Linked DNA regions of Arabidopsis thaliana. The protein of the gene in region 1 purifies or fractionates together with the protein of each later gene. This does not show direct contact. Each region holds a gene or a part of one and is shown in the gene's direction. Other genes may lie near its edges. The genes, in order: MPPalpha, AT3G27240 and AT5G40810.

The links.
Region 2: the proteins of MPPalpha (region 1) and AT3G27240 fractionate together in Arabidopsis thaliana (co-fractionation; one large-scale study listed by BioGRID). This does not show direct contact.
Region 3: the proteins of MPPalpha (region 1) and AT5G40810 fractionate together in Arabidopsis thaliana (co-fractionation; one large-scale study listed by BioGRID). This does not show direct contact.

What each region holds. Positions count from the first base shown.
Region 1 is NC_003074.8:5,597,859-5,603,955, forward strand, and holds MPPalpha (mitochondrial processing peptidase alpha subunit), read left to right. Parts: upstream 1-1,851; 5' UTR 1,852-2,047; coding exon 2,048-2,086; intron 2,087-2,375; coding exon 2,376-2,609; intron 2,610-2,691; coding exon 2,692-2,988; intron 2,989-3,074; coding exon 3,075-3,242; intron 3,243-3,353; coding exon 3,354-3,521; intron 3,522-3,610; coding exon 3,611-3,688; intron 3,689-3,761; coding exon 3,762-3,828; intron 3,829-3,949; coding exon 3,950-4,047; intron 4,048-4,136; coding exon 4,137-4,206; intron 4,207-4,295; coding exon 4,296-4,366; intron 4,367-4,451; coding exon 4,452-4,501; intron 4,502-4,594; coding exon 4,595-4,707; intron 4,708-4,811; coding exon 4,812-4,858; 3' UTR 4,859-5,169; downstream 5,170-6,097.
Region 2 is NC_003074.8:10,054,792-10,060,873, reverse strand, and holds AT3G27240 (Cytochrome C1 family), read left to right. Parts: upstream 1-2,100; 5' UTR 2,101-2,263; intron 2,264-2,474; 5' UTR 2,475-2,503; coding exon 2,504-2,563; intron 2,564-2,904; coding exon 2,905-3,116; intron 3,117-3,513; coding exon 3,514-3,793; intron 3,794-3,880; coding exon 3,881-3,952; intron 3,953-4,032; coding exon 4,033-4,149; intron 4,150-4,249; coding exon 4,250-4,315; intron 4,316-4,613; coding exon 4,614-4,730; 3' UTR 4,731-5,144; downstream 5,145-6,082. Other genes in the region: AT3G27230 (S-adenosyl-L-methionine-dependent methyltransferases superfamily protein), read right to left, coding at 5,418-6,082. UniProt on the Arabidopsis thaliana protein: Component of the ubiquinol-cytochrome c oxidoreductase, a multisubunit transmembrane complex that is part of the mitochondrial electron transport chain which drives oxidative phosphorylation.
Region 3 is NC_003076.8:16,337,754-16,343,823, forward strand, and holds AT5G40810 (Cytochrome C1 family), read left to right. Parts: upstream 1-2,109; 5' UTR 2,110-2,249; intron 2,250-2,417; 5' UTR 2,418-2,446; coding exon 2,447-2,506; exon of another isoform or gene 2,507-2,835; coding exon 2,836-3,047; intron 3,048-3,155; coding exon 3,156-3,435; intron 3,436-3,517; coding exon 3,518-3,589; intron 3,590-3,679; coding exon 3,680-3,796; intron 3,797-3,916; coding exon 3,917-3,982; intron 3,983-4,457; coding exon 4,458-4,574; 3' UTR 4,575-5,174; downstream 5,175-6,070. UniProt on the Arabidopsis thaliana protein: Component of the ubiquinol-cytochrome c oxidoreductase, a multisubunit transmembrane complex that is part of the mitochondrial electron transport chain which drives oxidative phosphorylation.

The sequences.
Region 1 (6,097 bases):
ACAATGGTATCATATTCTCATAGATTCATTATCATATAAAGAAATTCAATAATTCAAATAAAACTAGTAAAAATCAATATAACGATTTTGTGAAAGAAAGAAAAAAGGAGTACATTAAAGGGAAGGAAGAAACACCTTTGAGTGTGAGAAATGGAGATGAAGATGGAATATGAATGAGTTAATCTTGGGATTTTGTATATATACTATATAGTATATATAAAACATTTTTGAATACGAACATTAAATTCTCTTTTCATCCAATACTAACCACTTTTTTTTTCTGCCAATACTAACCACTTTTTCTTTTCTTTTTGAGAGACTTTATATTCAACCAACTCGTGCTTCACGAGGGATGGAAGCTTTGATTAGTTAGGACTTAGGAACTTGTATTAATCTAAATATCTTTTTTTTTTTAAAATTGAATCTACCTTACAACATAAAATTTGTAAAGAGAATTCCAAAATTCCAAAAAAAATCACCTAAAATTTTAAAATCGTGAAAGCAGCATCGTAAAGATGTTCTCTTCTGTTTTTTTTTTTTTTTTTTAACTCTCTTTTGAATATTGGATTAGAGATTTTCACAGTGTCGTAGATTCTTCGTAGAGTCTGTTATGAGTTGACATTTACCATAGGAATTGCATTATCGTGAGAAGGTTAAATGATAAATTGACATTTATAAATTCTCAAAATGTAGGTTATGAGTTGTCAAAGAAATGTAGGCTATGAAAAAAAAAACTTACGTCTAAAAAAATGCAAAGTTAAGAAAGAAATACTCAAAGTTCGTGGCATTTGACCATCTCTCAGCTACACCTCAAATTATAGCTCATGAGAATGGCCCATGAATATGATTGTGGCTCCGTTAATCACGTGGTATTAAAACTCACACACGACCATTTCTCATCTGCCTCCAATTATAGCGAAACCGTTACAACTCGTTGTTCACGTGAGCATCAAAATGTGCATTACTCCTTTCAAGTTCGGCAAATCCTAATTATCCATTTTAATGGACTGCAGAGACTTTAATTAGAGCTTATAGAACTTTAAACATTTTGGTTTAAATCTTAAAATAGAAATTTAACCAATCTCAAATGATTTTTTTTTCTTTTCTTTTGGCATAAGTTTCATAACTCGATGATGAATGCTACGATAATATAGACATACAGTATGATGATTAGATGAAAACAGATAAAGAAGAAAAAGTGTATCGTACGCCCCACTCGGTGATAATGATTAATGAGACTATATATGAGAGTACCCAAATATGATTTTTTCCACTCATGAATCGTATTGCACTATTTCTGCATTATTAAGATAGACCCACATTTAACATTAGACCAAAAAAAAAAAAAGATAGACCCACACCACCTGTTATAGTATTTAGTATTTTTACACATCCACTAAACGACGACAATTGACAAAATCACACAAACCTTTCTCCTTTATTCATTTTTGTTTAATTCGGGTCCCTTGCTTTTTAGCATTCGGCTCTCATTCTTATCTTCCCATGGATGGATAGTCATAGTTATATAATACAGTTCAATTGAAGTTATGCAGTATATATATGCACCACACACGAGTCTTCTATATATGTGGATACTACGTTTCAAAATAATTCTATTAACTTAGAGAAGATAAACTTTCTTAGTACTTTTTTCGTTTCACTTTACACACACCTCAAAAAAATTCTTGTTTCATTTGTGACTGCATGTAAATGTCGTTACCTTACTTGAATTTTTACACAATGGTACGTGAAAAAGAAAAGAAAAAAAATATAATTGAGAGAAAATATAATAGGATCACACCACTACAATACATGGGCTTTAAATTCATCTTTTCTATATGTTATAATTTGGGCCAAGACTATTATATCATATGGGCCTATCAATGTAATTAGAAGCAATTGCCCGATCCAATAACCTTAATTAGGAAAAAAAATCGTTCCCTTCTCTCGTTTCTTTTCAGCTCTGACTCGGCCTCTATCTCTCTCCCGTCGTCAGCCACATTCACCGGTACTCATCTGACCAAGCTAGGGTTTCGCAGTCATCATCATGTACCGTACGGCAGCTTCTCGAGCCAAGGCCCTTAAGGTCAATGTCCTACTTCACTTGTTTCCATTGAGATTCTGGTTTTTTTAGGAGAATGCTTAGTATTGAACAATTTGTATGATTCATTGTTTTTGGATTTGGATTAAAGGGTCTCTTAGATTCTTATAGATCTTGATTCAATTTTATCGCTTTATAGTAGCTGGTGCCATTATTCATGCTTTTTGCAGGTTTATGAAATGTCTCTGTTTCGAAAGTTCTTATTTTTACAATGTTAATTGAATCAAGAGATTAATGATGCTTAGGATGTGTGTGTGTGTGTGTGTGTTTATAGGGCATTCTAAACCACAATTTTCGAGCTTCTCGTTATGCAAGTTCTAGTGCTGTTGCAACGAGCTCTTCTTCCTCCAGCTGGCTAAGTGGAGGCTACTCTAGTTCACTTCCTTCTATGAACATTCCCTTGGCTGGTGTCTCTCTTCCACCACCACTCTCTGACCATGTTGAGCCTAGCAAACTTAAGACCACTACTCTTCCAAATGGTCTGACTATAGCCACTGAGATGTCTCCGGTGAGAGCTTCTTTTAGTAATCCCAACATCAACTTCCTGTTAAAAACTACTGGAAAGTGATTTTGAGTGAAATTTTGTTCAGAATCCAGCAGCTTCCATTGGTTTATACGTTGACTGTGGTTCTATTTATGAGACTCCTCAATTCCGTGGAGCGACGCACTTGCTTGAAAGGATGGCATTCAAGAGTACATTGAACAGAAGCCATTTTCGCCTTGTAAGGGAAATAGAGGCTATTGGAGGTAATACTTCAGCTTCTGCATCCCGAGAGCAGATGGGTTACACAATTGATGCTCTCAAAACCTATGTTCCCGAAATGGTTGAAGTGCTTATTGATAGTGTGAGGAACCCTGCTTTTTTGGATTGGGAAGTGAATGAAGAGGTACTTCATGTCATGTTGCATGTATCTCACAAACATTAAAGCTAAGCAATTTTTTTACACTGTTTTCATCATTTTTCTCCTGGCAGCTCCGAAAGGTGAAAGTAGAGATAGGAGAATTCGCAACGAATCCAATGGGTTTTCTTTTGGAGGCAGTTCATTCTGCTGGTTACTCTGGCGCATTGGCAAATCCATTGTATGCACCTGAATCTGCAATTACTGGATTGACTGGGGAGGTCTTGGAGAATTTTGTTTTTGTAAGACCGTTAACACAAGAGATTATTGCATTCGCTGGAACTAGTATCACTGGCTTTTGGTTTGTTATTTCGTAGATGTGTCTTTTTTCTCATTTTGTTCTGAAATTTCAGGAGAATTACACTGCTTCACGAATGGTCCTAGCAGCTAGTGGAGTTGATCATGAAGAACTTCTAAAAGTGGTTGAGCCATTACTATCTGACCTCCCTAATGTACCCCGACCTGCGGAGCCAAAGTCTCAATATGTCGGTGGAGATTTCCGTCAACATACGGGTGGAGAGGTACAAATATGACGTTTCAATGGGCTTCTTTGAGTAAAAGAAGGTTTATTATTCCTAATATCTTTCTTTTTTTGTTTCACCATTCTCAGGCTACACATTTTGCGCTTGCTTTTGAAGTGCCAGGATGGAATAACGAGAAGGAAGCTATCATTGCAACTGTTCTTCAGGTGCCTGACTCAAATACATTACTTGATCTTTCAAACGCAAAGACTTAATTGTGTAAAATCCAATTCTTATCAGATGCTTATGGGAGGAGGTGGCTCATTTTCTGCGGGAGGCCCTGGAAAAGGAATGCACTCTTGGCTCTGTAAGTCTCTGAATGTGTTCTCTTTCTACTTGCGGTTTTTCAACACTCATGTTTTAATGTAAGTTAGTTATTTGTTGGTCATGATGATGATGAGATTGGTTTCTTTATTGTCTGGATGCAGATCTTCGCCTTTTGAACCAACATCAGCAGTTTCAATCATGCACTGCATTCACTAGCGTCTTTAACAATACCGGATTGTTTGGAATCTATGGTTGCACGGTGAGTTTGCACCGATTTCTAGTTGTTGCTTATTAACGGTTTTTAGCACTTTGCAATGTGGGTTTGCTTACATTCTTTTGGCGTTGCAGAGTCCTGAATTTGCTTCACAGGGAATTGAATTAGTAGCTAGTGAAATGAACGCTGTTGCTGATGGAAAAGGTTTTCTATATATTTCATCCATTCTTTTTTAGAACCATTTATCAACTCATACAGACATATTATTTACTCTGGTGTACATGCTTTGGCAGTTAATCAGAAACATCTTGATCGCGCCAAAGCAGCAACAAAATCTGCGATTCTGATGAATCTGGAATCTCGGGTAGGTCACTTAAAAGTTCCACCTCTTTTTCTTAAGCCATGAGGGTGACTTTATAATGGAATTTAACTGTTTGTGTGATTTGCAGATGATTGCAGCAGAAGACATTGGTAGACAGATTCTTACTTACGGAGAGAGGTACATACACTTTGTAACATTCCACTTCTAAACTGATTATAACCAGACTTTTCTCTAACTGTTTTTTTTTTTGTTTTCCCAACATATCTGCAGGAAACCAGTAGACCAATTCTTGAAGACAGTAGACCAACTTACCTTAAAGGACATTGCAGATTTCACTAGCAAGGTTATCACAAAGCCTTTGACAATGGCAACTTTCGGAGACGGTAATGACAAAACCATCATCACAGTTTTACATCTTTTATAAAACGGCATTGCAAACTTAAATCCATTTTACTTATTCTAAAATCTTGTGTTGATTTTGGGACAGTGTTGAATGTTCCAAGCTATGACTCCGTAAGCAAAAGATTTCGCTGAAGAGTGAAGAAGTAAAAAAGATCTTTTTACATCATAAGATAGAGTTGGGACCTGTAGAATAAAGATAGCCTTTTTTTTGGAGATCCAACCAAATTTTTTGTTTCATCTATCTCTCAAGTTTCTGACCTAAGATAAGTCCATGAAAATGGTGACAAATTACGCCCATGTCTCCAATTTCGTTGTTGCGTATTTCTTCTCTTCGGTTAGTGAATAATGATTGATACGTTTACCAACTTTTTTCAGCTTCAATTTTTAAATTTCTTTCTTGTTAAAGAATGCTGGCAAACATAGGCATTAAAGATAGATAGAAGTCTACTACTACATAAAATATTTTCCAAATTATTAATTTTATGAACTCTTAAATGCTTTAATATTTTGTTAATAAAAGGATTATTGAATAAATGGATCTAAATAATAGAAACGACTCCATCAGACAAATAATTGCCTTAAAAGTATCTTAAACTCTCAACCAGATATAAGATAGATCCACAATAAATTACTACTAGAATTAGATCAATTTACCATAGTTATTTCGAAATGTGAAAGCATAATTTACATACACACTCCTAAAGTCTAAAATGAAGGTGTTATTTTTTTTTTGACAGCCTATGATGAAGGTGTTTAATCACAGAAAACCTTAATTAAAAAGGCTATTAGGGAATCTTTTTGGCGGATTACGAGGTAAATTAGAGCTTATCAAAAGCAGTTGATGTGTATTTTAATTATTTCTACTTTCAGAAGAACGAATATGATGACGTAAACACGTATCGGCATGAACCAATCATATTCCCTGGTGGTTTTTAAAAATGATTAGATATAGAAACATTACAAAAAGATTTTGAAAAATCACGATAATGATAACGTCATGTCGTACTTGTCTGACGCTACATGGATTCCAAATTTATTGCAAATTTCAACCTCATTTCGTCATCATAGTTACTTATTAATAATATCTTCCCTCGATTACTCGCATCTTTGAATTTCAAATTCTTCATAACCAATATCTAAATTCAAGTAATCTCTTACTATTGAAGAACATTATAATTTTGAAATATGGATAAGTTTCTTACTTCTCTTATGCGTAATCGACAAAAAGCATTCCACATGAAGAGGAAAAGAAGCAAATTTCACATTTTTTCCAAAGCAAAGCAATAATTTACAAAAAAAAAAAAAAAAGGAAAGTCATAAATGAAAAGTCAAAGGCTATGACGATATTTTCTTTAAGGACGAAAATAACGT
Region 2 (6,082 bases), 4.5 Mb from region 1:
GGATAATCCGGATTATAAGTTTATAATACGATGACCAGGAACTATTAGATTAGCAAGAGCATGGATGGACTCAACAAGAGTAAATATAAAATTATGGTCACTTAATTAACTTTAAAAATATTTTTTGTTGATTAGCAAAATGTATGGTCCAACACATAATATACAGTATTAAATTTTGACGGCCGGCAACTATAGGCGAAGAAACACACACGTTGTTGAATAGAAGCAATGTGAATATATCTTTACCCACATAGATGCATACACATAGGTCCATATGATAAGTTAAATGGTATGTTTATTTCCCCAATTTTCTTTTATTTTTAGTTGAGATTTTTATATTATATGAACGCATGGGTCCTACGTAAACACACAATATGCTGTTTCACCTTATTCGAAGGCTCTTATTGGTCCTCGTAATCTCCGACCAATCAAATTGCACTATGTGTCCTCCATTTCTCACTTGAAAAGCTGTTATGTCATGACTCATCAAACATTCATACTTACATATGCATGTCTACGTTGAGCACGAAAAAAGAAGAAGGAATTATGCGCATCATTAGCATGCCGATATATGTGAGTAAACGAATAAGAAATGTTAGCGATCTAATGATATTTGCAGACATAATATAGTTGTTAAAAAAAAGAAAAAGACTAATGTATTAATTAATTGTTAAATAAAACAAGCAAAAACTGAAACGAGTAGAGTTTTTATTTTTTAATAGATTTTATCAAAAAAAAAAGACTGCGTCTGCATGGAGTAATTAATACTGCGTTGAATTATAATTTTGTTTAGGTGTTTTGAATAGTTTTTTTTAATCTATATTTTCACAACAACTTTTGTTAATATAGTCCAGATGGATGCCACATAACAAAAGGTTTTTTTCTAGTAACAAAACAGGATTAGTAACTAGGCATACACTGATACACATTCGGTTCGGTTCAATTCTTCGGGTTTTGGGTTATTCGTTTTTAGCTTTTTAGCATCCATAAGGAAACCGAATGTTTTTCAGTTCAGTTAGTCTTCTTTCTTTGTTTTGTGTTACAAATTAAGCGAGCAAGTTAGCTCTCCAGTTTATAATCTCTCTTTGTTGTCACTTTTTGGTATGTAACTTACTAACTTGTGTTGTTGTCATATGAAGAGAAGAATGGGGGACCAAGGATGAAGGTAAGGTTCGGTTCTTTGAGTATTTTGGTTTCTTTTTGGGTACTTCAAGTAAAAATATATAAACCGTAAAAATATCCAAACCTTTGGAGGCTGCTGGTGATGCTTTAATTTATTCCAAATTGTTGAAATATTGTTGAAAACATAGTTTAAAACAAGTATTTCTAGGTCTTGTGGTACATAAAGTGTTCCAGGGATTTTTTCTCGCTGAAGTTCGATGTTTTGGGAAAAAGAGAGTACAAAGCTTGGTTCCCGCAGTTAAGGGCCATTTGACCGTGAGTCTTAGTATTATTTTCCTTTGTGATTGTGGTAGATTGCTTGTTTGTTCTTTTTAAAATTTCTCTCTGACTTTTTGTCGGATATGCGAGACATATGTTTAGTAGATGAAGCATAGTTTCTGACTCGGTCGATGGTTAAGTTACTTAACTTAAGTATGATTCCACTTGATAGTAAAATGTGATTATTCCAGCTAATCACGCATATCACATCAGAATGATTAATGGTCCTTAGATCAAAAATTATCCACAGTTGTAATTAACATCTCATTATCAAGATCATATATTAATAGCACAAGTGATTAGAAGTGAAGCTTCCTCCTAAGAAGTTTCAAAAGTTGTGATTGCCAAAACTTTTTTTAAAGCAAAATCGTGTTTTCAAATTTTCACTGTTTGTTTATATATATAATATGAAATGATTAGACCATTAAGCCAGTTTGAAGTACAAACATTGTCACTAGTATGATAATTCAAACATTTTTTTAATTATCTCCATATTGATTTTTTAAAATCCAACCAAGTCTACTTCTGGTGATGTATGATCCTAAAGTCATATGTTTTACGTTGCATTCGGAAGATTTTTCTTCTCAAAGATAATAAAGATCCACCAAGCTTTTAAACTTTTCAAGTGTTATCTACTTCGACATTTTCTGGGCTCAAGCAGTACGTTGTTGGCCCATTAAGGCCCAAATAAGTAAAACTGTGGTCGTGTGTCTAGCAGCCGCTGTGTCATCGTGGAACTCCCATTTTCTCTCTTTTACTTGTTCGTTCCCAAACTCTTCTCCCTCGATCGTCTCCGTCGCCGATCTCGTTTCTTCATTTTCCGGTGAGATTCTCTCTCTATTTCTCTGTATATCTCGTATTCGAAACCTTCGTTTTCTTCTTTGACATTTGATTGATCAGAGTTATCTATATTCGTCGGATCTGTGTAGACTCAAATTTTCTAGGGCTTGTTCGCTTTTGTTTATTCGTATACGTGTTGTGAAATCGCATTTTCACTGAATCAGTATTCTGATTCAATTTCTTTGTTTCTTCAGCGTGTTGATTGGTACAAAGGTTTAATCAAATGGTTGGAGGAGGAGTTATCCAGCAAATTCTTAGGAGGAAGCTTCACTCCCAATCACTTGTGAGATTTTTTCCAGTCTTAATTTTACATTCTCTTCATTTCTATTTTGATTTACGATTTCAGCTTGGGATCTGTTTTTAAGACATTTTTTTCGGTTCTGTGGTTAAAGATTTGTGTTTTGTGACACTGATGCTCATTAGCTAATGATTTCTTTGTGAAATTTTTCATTTTTTGGAACATAAGACAGGAGACAATGATTTATGTATAGCTTCTGCTTCAATGTCAAATCCTAGTAGAATAGTAGAATGCAGCAATCTTTTGAAAGTCCATTTGGTTAGCATATAACTGAGTTGGTTTGCGGCGAAGTTTTGACTGAGCATTGGTTTTGTGTTATCCTGCAGGCAACTCCGGTTTTGTCTTGGTTTTCTTCGAAGAAAGCTCATGAGGATGCTGGTTCTTCTGGTGTAAGAGCACTTGCCTTGTTGGGTGCTGGTGTTACAGGACTGTTGAGTTTTTCTACAGTAGCATCTGCTGATGAGGCTGAACATGGATTGGAGAGTCCAGAGTACCCTTGGCCTCATGATGGCATTCTTAGCTCATATGACCATGCTTCGTGAGTATTGTCACCACTCTCTCATCTTCTTGTCTGGTTAATAGCATCATTTTATCATTTTCTTATAGATTTTTTTTTGCTTTTATAAGTTAACGTCCTTTCAAGCAATTTTTCAATGAAAAAGGAAATTTTCTTAGAATTGTAAATTTCTTTGAATCAAAAAGTCTATCATGCGTGAATCAAGCGTTTGTATGAGTCTTTGTATAGAAGGAAAAGAAATCATACATAAAATAAGGGGCTTGTTGCTGCCTTTTTTTAATAAAACGATTCAAGATCACCGAAGTCATGTCTAAACCTAAAGAAAGTGACTATCCTGCTACCCTAATATTAGACTGTGAAACTTCAGTGAAATTTTTGTACTGTATGAATTATTGAAAGGTTGATGTTGTATGAGCAGGATCCGTCGTGGGCATCAAGTTTATCAGCAAGTCTGTGCATCATGCCATTCAATGTCTCTGATCTCATACCGAGACTTGGTGGGTGTCGCCTACACAGAGGAAGAGGCAAAGGCAATGGCAGCTGAAATCGAGGTAGTAGATGGACCTAATGATGAGGGTGAGATGTTCACCCGCCCTGGTAAACTCAGTGACCGGTTTCCTCAGCCATATGCAAATGAATCAGCTGCAAGGTTTGCTAATGGTGGAGCGTATCCTCCTGATCTAAGTCTTATAACTAAGGTCTGCTGCTGCTACTTTACTTTAACTGAACATCTGTAGCAAACTTGTGTTTTGTGTTTTAAATAGTTTTAATGTTCTGCCTTCCAGGCACGTCACAATGGTCCAAACTATGTCTTTGCGCTTCTGACTGGTTACCGTGATCCCCCTGCTGGCATATCGGTAAGTTTCTCTCATTTTCCACATTGAACTTCTTCGAATTCAAAGTGCTGGTTATGAAAAATCCGATGATAACTGTACAGATTAGAGAGGGGTTACACTACAATCCTTATTTCCCTGGGGGAGCAATTGCTATGCCGAAAATGCTCAATGATGAAGCTGTTGAGTATGAAGATGGTGTCCCCGCCACAGAGGCACAGGTTATTTTTCCTCCACTTAAAATATAAGAACATAAATCTTTATGCCTTATGGTACTGTCCTTTCTCAGTGTCATGATATAAACTTTACTTTACGGTGCAGATGGGTAAAGATATTGTATCATTCTTGGCCTGGGCAGCTGAACCAGAAATGGAAGAGAGGAAACTGGTAGGTTTATCTTTCTCTGTTCGCTGGTGAACATTGTATTTTCTCCCTAGACTATGCAATTAATACTAGATTTAGTTTATGATCGATCAAGTTGACTTAGAGAACCAATTGTTGTACCAAGTGTGAAGTGCTACTAGTTCTTGGTCTGCTACTAAGATAATAACATTTAGATATGCTGTGAACACAGTTTGACTCGTTTTGCAGACACAAACCTCAGCTTCCAGACCGATACAAAGAATTGACTTTTTTTTGAGGTTACATTTTACATGGCGGTTAATGTTGGTTTCACTATTTGCAGATGGGTTTCAAATGGATATTCCTACTCTCTCTCGCTCTTCTCCAAGCTGCTTACTACAGGCGACTAAAATGGTCGGTTCTCAAGTCCCGCAAGCTGGTTCTTGACGTGGTTAACTAAAGCGCCGCTGAAAAGCTTTTGCATTGGCCTGGCCACACACAGTCGTATTTTCAACAAAGGATGTTAAATAGAGAAGAGCCTTTCTCTGGGTAATAACGTATCATCATTTTTATGTGTCATAAAAATCTTTGATGAGACCAGTTCTCACCTGAAGGTGAAAAGACCTCATCGTTCTTCTTTTTCCTTCGATTATTACTAGAGAGTTTTATGAGGATAATCACGAAAACTTGTTTTTTTCGCCTCATAATAATCACACATGATTTTGAGATTATATCATTTGTTATGTTTTTCCTCTTGTCTCAATAAAAAATAACTTTGTACTCTGATTTTGTTGTCTATTTTCGGCATTTCTTGCATCTGGCTTTGGTTGCATGAGGAGAATTTATTTCAGGTATAACAAAAACACAATTAATGGTACTCATTTTTATTTGTATGGTATATATGGATATTATAACAGAAAAGTAGTAATAATAATCGACAAAATTTCAACACATTATACTGAAAAACTTTTACAAATGATTTTCTCCAATTGCCCTGGTAAATATATAATTGCTTATTCTTCTTCTCTGGAATAAATATCACCTAATGACCTCCAAATTTATAACCTATGATCAAATGTAACTATAAATAGAGAGTTTTACTCTTATGGTCGGTCTTACCATTACGAACTTCCTTTTGCATTCCCGATCAAGCTCTCACTGGCTTTTGCAGAACAGCTGAGAGATAAACTTGTGCATCAGCCTTCTCTCCAATAACCCATTTAAGCTTCTTATACCCAAACCTCTCAATCATACGTGTAAGTTCTTTCTTCTTCTCATCATTAGCACAATAGAAGTTATCCAACCAGAACAATCCACGGGGTTTCAAAACCCGATCAAGATCGAACATCAAGAACTCTAGCTTCTCCGCTTTACCCTCAACATCTAATCCGCTAGAAGCATGAATAAGATCAAACACATTGTCAAGAAAAGGAAATCTATGGTCTAAGCTCAAGAACAACGGAAAGAGCCCTCTCGCAGCTATAAACTCACTAAACGGAGCACCATTATTCAAAGTGTTAGTGATTACAGTCACGTTCTTCTCAGCCATTCTCGCTGCGAAAGTCCCTGATCCACCGCTAATATCGAACCCGATTCGAATTTTCCCACTTCCTAAACCCAACACATCATCAATCAAGAAATCATTCTTCCCCTTAACCTTCACAAACCTATCTTTCTCAACCCCTAAATCGAAACAACCAACACATTCCTTGCTAAGTTTCTTACCTTTCAAGCAATCAAAACTCTTGCAACCAAGTCCACTCCAATTAACACTCTTGTTACTAACAGATCTCCATAACGAATCAGGAGACT
Region 3 (6,070 bases), on another chromosome or scaffold:
CTCATTGTCCTATGGTCGGATCTATGTACTTATGTAGCTCCGGTTCTAGGGATGTGCTCTCATTCTATAGCTAAAGTCATCTTGGTGTGGTTTTGGGTGTGTTAATCATTTAGGTTCGGTTAGAACATTTCACGGAATAAACCTATCATTTGCATTTGATATCTATGAAAAACATTTCACGGAATAAACCTATCATACGTATCTTTCATTACCTTTACATAATACATCACACAAAAGCATAAGTATTCTTTCACCTTGTCATTTTTTTTTGGGATAAATTCTATCGGTAAAAACATACTGAAATACGCTAGAGTGGATTCTTTTCACTTGTCATAAAACCCAATAAAAATCATATTTATTATTTTATTATTATTTAAGTTCGTTTCTTAACATAATACATTACCACTATCTAATACCTCATATAAAATTAGATTTAAAATCCTATAAACACACACTAAATTCTGAAAGAAATAATGTTAGGTTGTTTAATTTCTTTTTTTTGTTTGTCAAATCAGATATATTGATATAAAACAAGGTTACAAAATATATAAACATTATAATACAATTATTATACGCAAATACAAAAATTTGATACAATTTTGATAAAGGAGTGAAAGTAACCCGACATTACAAGCAAATAGGCGTTGGTCATGATACATAAATATTTTTTAATTATAAGAAAATTACTATTATTTTAAAATCACAAATTTTAAACTGTATATTTTCTTAATTAGGCACTGATGAACAATTCGTGATACAATGTGGAAACATGTCTCAAATCGAAACCCTTATTTGATATGTTATTAAGATACCTGCTGGGGAGGTGCCTCATCCCAAAATAAACTAAATTAATTAACATTCATTTAGGTAGAAAAATTACTATAATGACATACTTAATCATATAATTATACTTTTCCTTCATACCACCAATAAAAGCAGATCGCTATCTAGCTCTTAGACAAGATAATAGCATAGCTTTTAATTTTGATAAAGCTGAATGGTCCTTGTAGATAAAGTTAAGAGAAGAATATGTTTTTTTTTTTACAAAGGCTTGTTTTCATTCATTCACATAAAAACAAGTACAAGAAGGAGTGATTCAAAGATCACAAAGTTTAAAACATAATTAAAGGAGGTATTCCCCAAAGCCAAAACATAATAGAGGCATTTCTCTAAGACACGAAAGGAAATGCATAGCATTCAAACCGACTCATATTAAATCATCTCTCATAAATGAAAAACTACTTCCACTTGAGACACTAAAGGACTCACCAATCAACATATTAAGAAAGTTACTGTTTCGTGGCTTGAAAATATGTAGAAAAGCTTCCAGGACGATGTCTCATTCATTAATTTTCTGATGATTCCAAATTCGTTTTCCGAACCACAACTTATGATTGCAAAAACCTAATGATTCGGCTTGAGTTGAGTCATGATGAGAATTTCTCCTGCTTAATTAAAATTCTGTTTTTAGGTATAAGAGATTCTATTCAGCAAAGATATTCAAGATGAGTAACAGATATTAAACATACCATGAACATTCACAAACCTGTGGGAATTAATATATGAACTTACCTAGCAAAAGCGAACATGTAATTTCTCATTTACATTTTCCCGTACTATGTAAAATTGAAACACATTTTCAAGTTTAAGGAAGATTATAATTTTGGAGTCGATGTAGTATCCCGAGAGCATACGAAACATATGTTGTATTTTCAAATTTGCGCCTCTCGATATTGAACTACAATAATGCATGTTAGATTCAAAGCAGCCTCGCTTTGGACCCTATAAAATGAGTTAATGCAAGCCATAATAATTTATCGATCGACATATTTACTAAACAAGCCAGAATGTGATCTCGATCTCAGCCTGTGTTAATCTTTTTGTAATTGAACATTCTGGACTAATGAACTCTTCACTATTGAAAAAAACAACAACACATAGATCATTTACACAAAGTCTCCCTTTACTAAATTTCAAGATTTGGTCCATTTATTCCAATGAGAAATATTCCAGATATTTTTTTTGGCTGTTGACTGTACGGATAGGCCCTTAATGGGCTTTTAATGGATTAAATTAGGCCCATGATACTTGAAAAATCTGAAAGGTGTTGTTGTGTTGTGTGTGACAGTCCAGTCGCGTCATCCGGAGACATCCATTTTCTCTGGTAGCTGTTTACTTCTTCTTCTTCTTCTTCTTCTTCTTCCTCCTCCTCTGTTCGTCAATCGCCGATCTCGTTGCTTCATTTTCCTGTGAGTATTTTCTCGATTCGACACATCTCATATCCGAATCTGCCATTTCTTCATTCAATTTTGTTTATTTGTTGGAACTTCGGATCTATATAGAGAATCGAGTTTTCTAGGGCTTACTCATTGTTTCGGGTATATGTAATGGCTGAGAATCTTCTCTGTTTGTATCAGTGAGATCGATTGGTACAAGTGTTCATCCAATGGTTGGAGGAGGAGTTATCCGGCAGCTTCTTAGAAGGAAACTTCATTCCCAATCAGTCGTGAGCTTTTTCCCTGTTACATCTTTTTGATTTTCTGCTGTAGCTTAGGATCTGTTTGAAGATAGAATCATATGATTTGTTTTGGTTCTGTCTACACCTTCATTGCTCTGAGAGATTGTCCTTGAAGAATTGTAACTGGAATTGTTGTGGCGTTGGAGATTTTGGGATATAAGAAACTTAGACTTATTGATTTGTGCTTCGAGAGTATGATTAATATTCGATTTCTTTTCAGAAAAAGTAGTCTTTTGATTTGTTGAGCATACACCTTCTTGTGTCTTGGCCTTTTTTTTTGTTTTCTTACTGTTGTTCTGTATTATCTACCACCATAGGCAACTCCGGTATTGTCATGGTTGTCTTCGAAGAAAGCGAATGAAGATGCTGGGTCTGCTGGTTTAAGAGCATTTGCTCTCATGGGTGCTGGTATTACCGGATTATTGAGTTTTTCTACTGTTGCATCTGCTGATGAGGCTGAACATGGTCTGGAGTGTCCTAACTACCCTTGGCCACATGAGGGCATTCTCAGCTCATATGACCATGCTTCGTGAGTGTTCAAGCTACAATTCAATCATCATAGTGAAATTGCAACACTAAAGTTGAAAATTAGAGAAATTTGAGACTGCTTTACTGACGGTTGATTTGTAATGAGCAGGATCCGTCGTGGTCACCAAGTTTATCAGCAAGTTTGTGCGTCTTGCCATTCGATGTCTCTGATCTCATACCGAGACTTGGTGGGTGTTGCCTACACAGAGGAAGAGGCGAAGGCCATGGCAGCTGAAATCGAGGTTGTTGATGGACCAAATGATGAGGGTGAGATGTTCACCCGACCTGGTAAACTCAGTGATCGGCTTCCTGAACCATACTCAAATGAATCGGCTGCTAGGTTCGCCAATGGAGGAGCGTATCCACCGGATCTAAGTCTTGTAACTAAGGTTTGGTGCTCTTTCTCTCCATTTGTATACAATTAGAAAATTCATCTACTATGATCTAAGCAATTTGGCTATTTTCTTCCAGGCACGTCACAATGGCCAAAATTATGTCTTTGCTCTGTTGACTGGTTATCGTGATCCTCCTGCTGGAATTTCGGTAAATTTCTCTCCTATTTTTGCTTTAGACTTGTTATTACAACTTCAAATTGTTGGAAGTTAGAAATAATCCTGTGACTAACGGGTACAGATCAGAGAGGGGCTACACTACAATCCTTATTTCCCTGGTGGAGCAATCGCTATGCCAAAAATGCTCAACGATGAAGCTGTGGAATATGAAGATGGAACTCCTGCAACAGAAGCACAGGTTAGTTTTCCTCTGCTTAAGAAAATAATTTGCAGACCATAAAGTTTTATCAGATTTGACCTTTCCTCTGAGTCAATTATATAATCTTTAATTTTTCTTTTTTTAAAAAACATGATGCAGATGGGTAAAGATGTTGTATCCTTCTTGTCCTGGGCAGCTGAACCAGAGATGGAAGAGAGGAAATTGGTAAGTTTCTTAGTTTCATATATTCCATGTTTTAAGCTGTCGTTTCCATATGTACGAGATTGCAATAGGAATATCAATCTGGATTCTGATTATTTGATTTTCAGATTCAGTTTGAGAAAATTGTTACCAAACTTAAACCGGCATAGTATAGATTGGTTTTGGATGTAGAAAAAGTATCGCCATTTTATCCGTGTTAAGATTTCCTTGGTTCTGTCTTCTGTATAGCGGGATGAACACACCTAGTTGCATAGTTGTGTTGAACACACCTAGTTGCATAGTTGTGTTGACCACACTACTGCTTGTTTCTTGAGGCTGCTAATCTCAGACCAAAACTATTATCAAACATGAACCGTATTGTTACTCTGTATTCAAAACCGTCATGTTGGTTCTAAACCGACCCAAAAAAACCCGCTATACCGAGAATCCAACTCTTTGTGCTTAGATATCTGTTAACGTTGGTTGTATGTGTGTGCAGATGGGGTTCAAATGGATATTCTTACTGTCTTTGGCTCTGCTTCAAGCTGCGTATTACAGGAGACTGAAATGGTCAGTACTCAAATCCCGTAAGCTTGTTCTCGACGTTGTTAACTAATCCCGTGAAGATCACCTTTTCTCTGGGTAATAATCATTAATCTTGAAAGGGATAAATGGTGAATCCCACTTTTTGTCTCAAAAGACATGTTTCTTTGTTTATTGTTTAGAAAGTCTAATGAGGCAAAGAAGTAAAGCTTTTTTAACCTCAAGTCACACATGATTTTGAGATTATATTATTTCTTTTTGGTTTGTTGTCTCCTAAACCGGACTCGGTTTGTCTTAATAAAAATGTGGTTTTACAATCTCTCTCCTATTTGTATATCACAAAACATGATTTTGTAACTATTAAAGTTAAAAAGTTAAAATCTGTGGTCTATTTCTGATAGACCAAAACTCCACAGAACAACCAATTTACCTCTGTTGCGAACTCGATTTTGTAAAACTTAGAAAAATGTAGGCAGGATTTAGACCCGTTAATGTAAAACCAGTTCCGTTAAGACATTACCAAACAAAATTGCACAATCCTACAGACAATGAAACAAACATGCAGGATCGGACAAAACCTCAAAATACAAGTCCACACTTTTAATTGTCCCTTGGAATCAATATTTATAAAAATGTAATGAGCTCAAATTTTTATAACCTATGAAAAGATCAAAATCTTGATTAAAAAGAAGAAAAAAACCAATCAAATCCTGGCAGGCTTCTGCAGAACAGCCGAGAGAAAAACCTCAGCATCAGTTTTCTCTCCAACAACCCATTTCAACTTCTTATACCCAAACCTCTCTATCAAACGCGTAAGAACTCTCTTCTTCTCATCATTACCGCAATAGAAATTGTCTAACTAGAACAATCCACCGGGTTTCAAGATCCGATCAAGATCAAACATCAAGAACTCTAGCTTCTCGGGTTTACTACTAACCGCTAAATCCAATCCGTTAGAAGCATGAATGAGATCAAAAACATTGTCATAGAACGGGAATCTCTAATCCAAACTCCCTCTGAACAACGGAAAAATCCCTCTTGTAGCTATGAATTCGCTGAAAGGAGCATCTATATTTAATGTAATACCGATAATATTCAGATTCTTTTCAGCCATTCTAGCAGCAAACGTGCCTGATCCGCTGCTAATATCGAATCCGATTCGGATTTTCCCATCGCCTAAACCCAAACATCATCTATCAGGAAATCAGTCTTCACTTTAACCTTAACAAACCTATCTTTCTCATGACCAGAGCTAGATCAAAGCAACCAACAAAATCCCGGCTCAGTTAAGACCTTTCAAGCATTCAAAACTTTTGCAGCCAAGACCGCTCCAGTTAACACTATTGTTACTGACCGTTCTCCACAAAGAATCATGAAACAGTGCGAGACCTGGCTTATGTACTGTTTTAGCTTCAACTTCTACAGGAAGTTTGTGCACAAGGAGCCTATGATACAAGTAACATCTGCATGTCAAAAAGATTTGTAGCCACCCATGTTTTCATAGGATAGTGTTATCTGCATGTCAACTTACTGTATTAACATAAATGGCATTATGAAAACTGGTGTAGT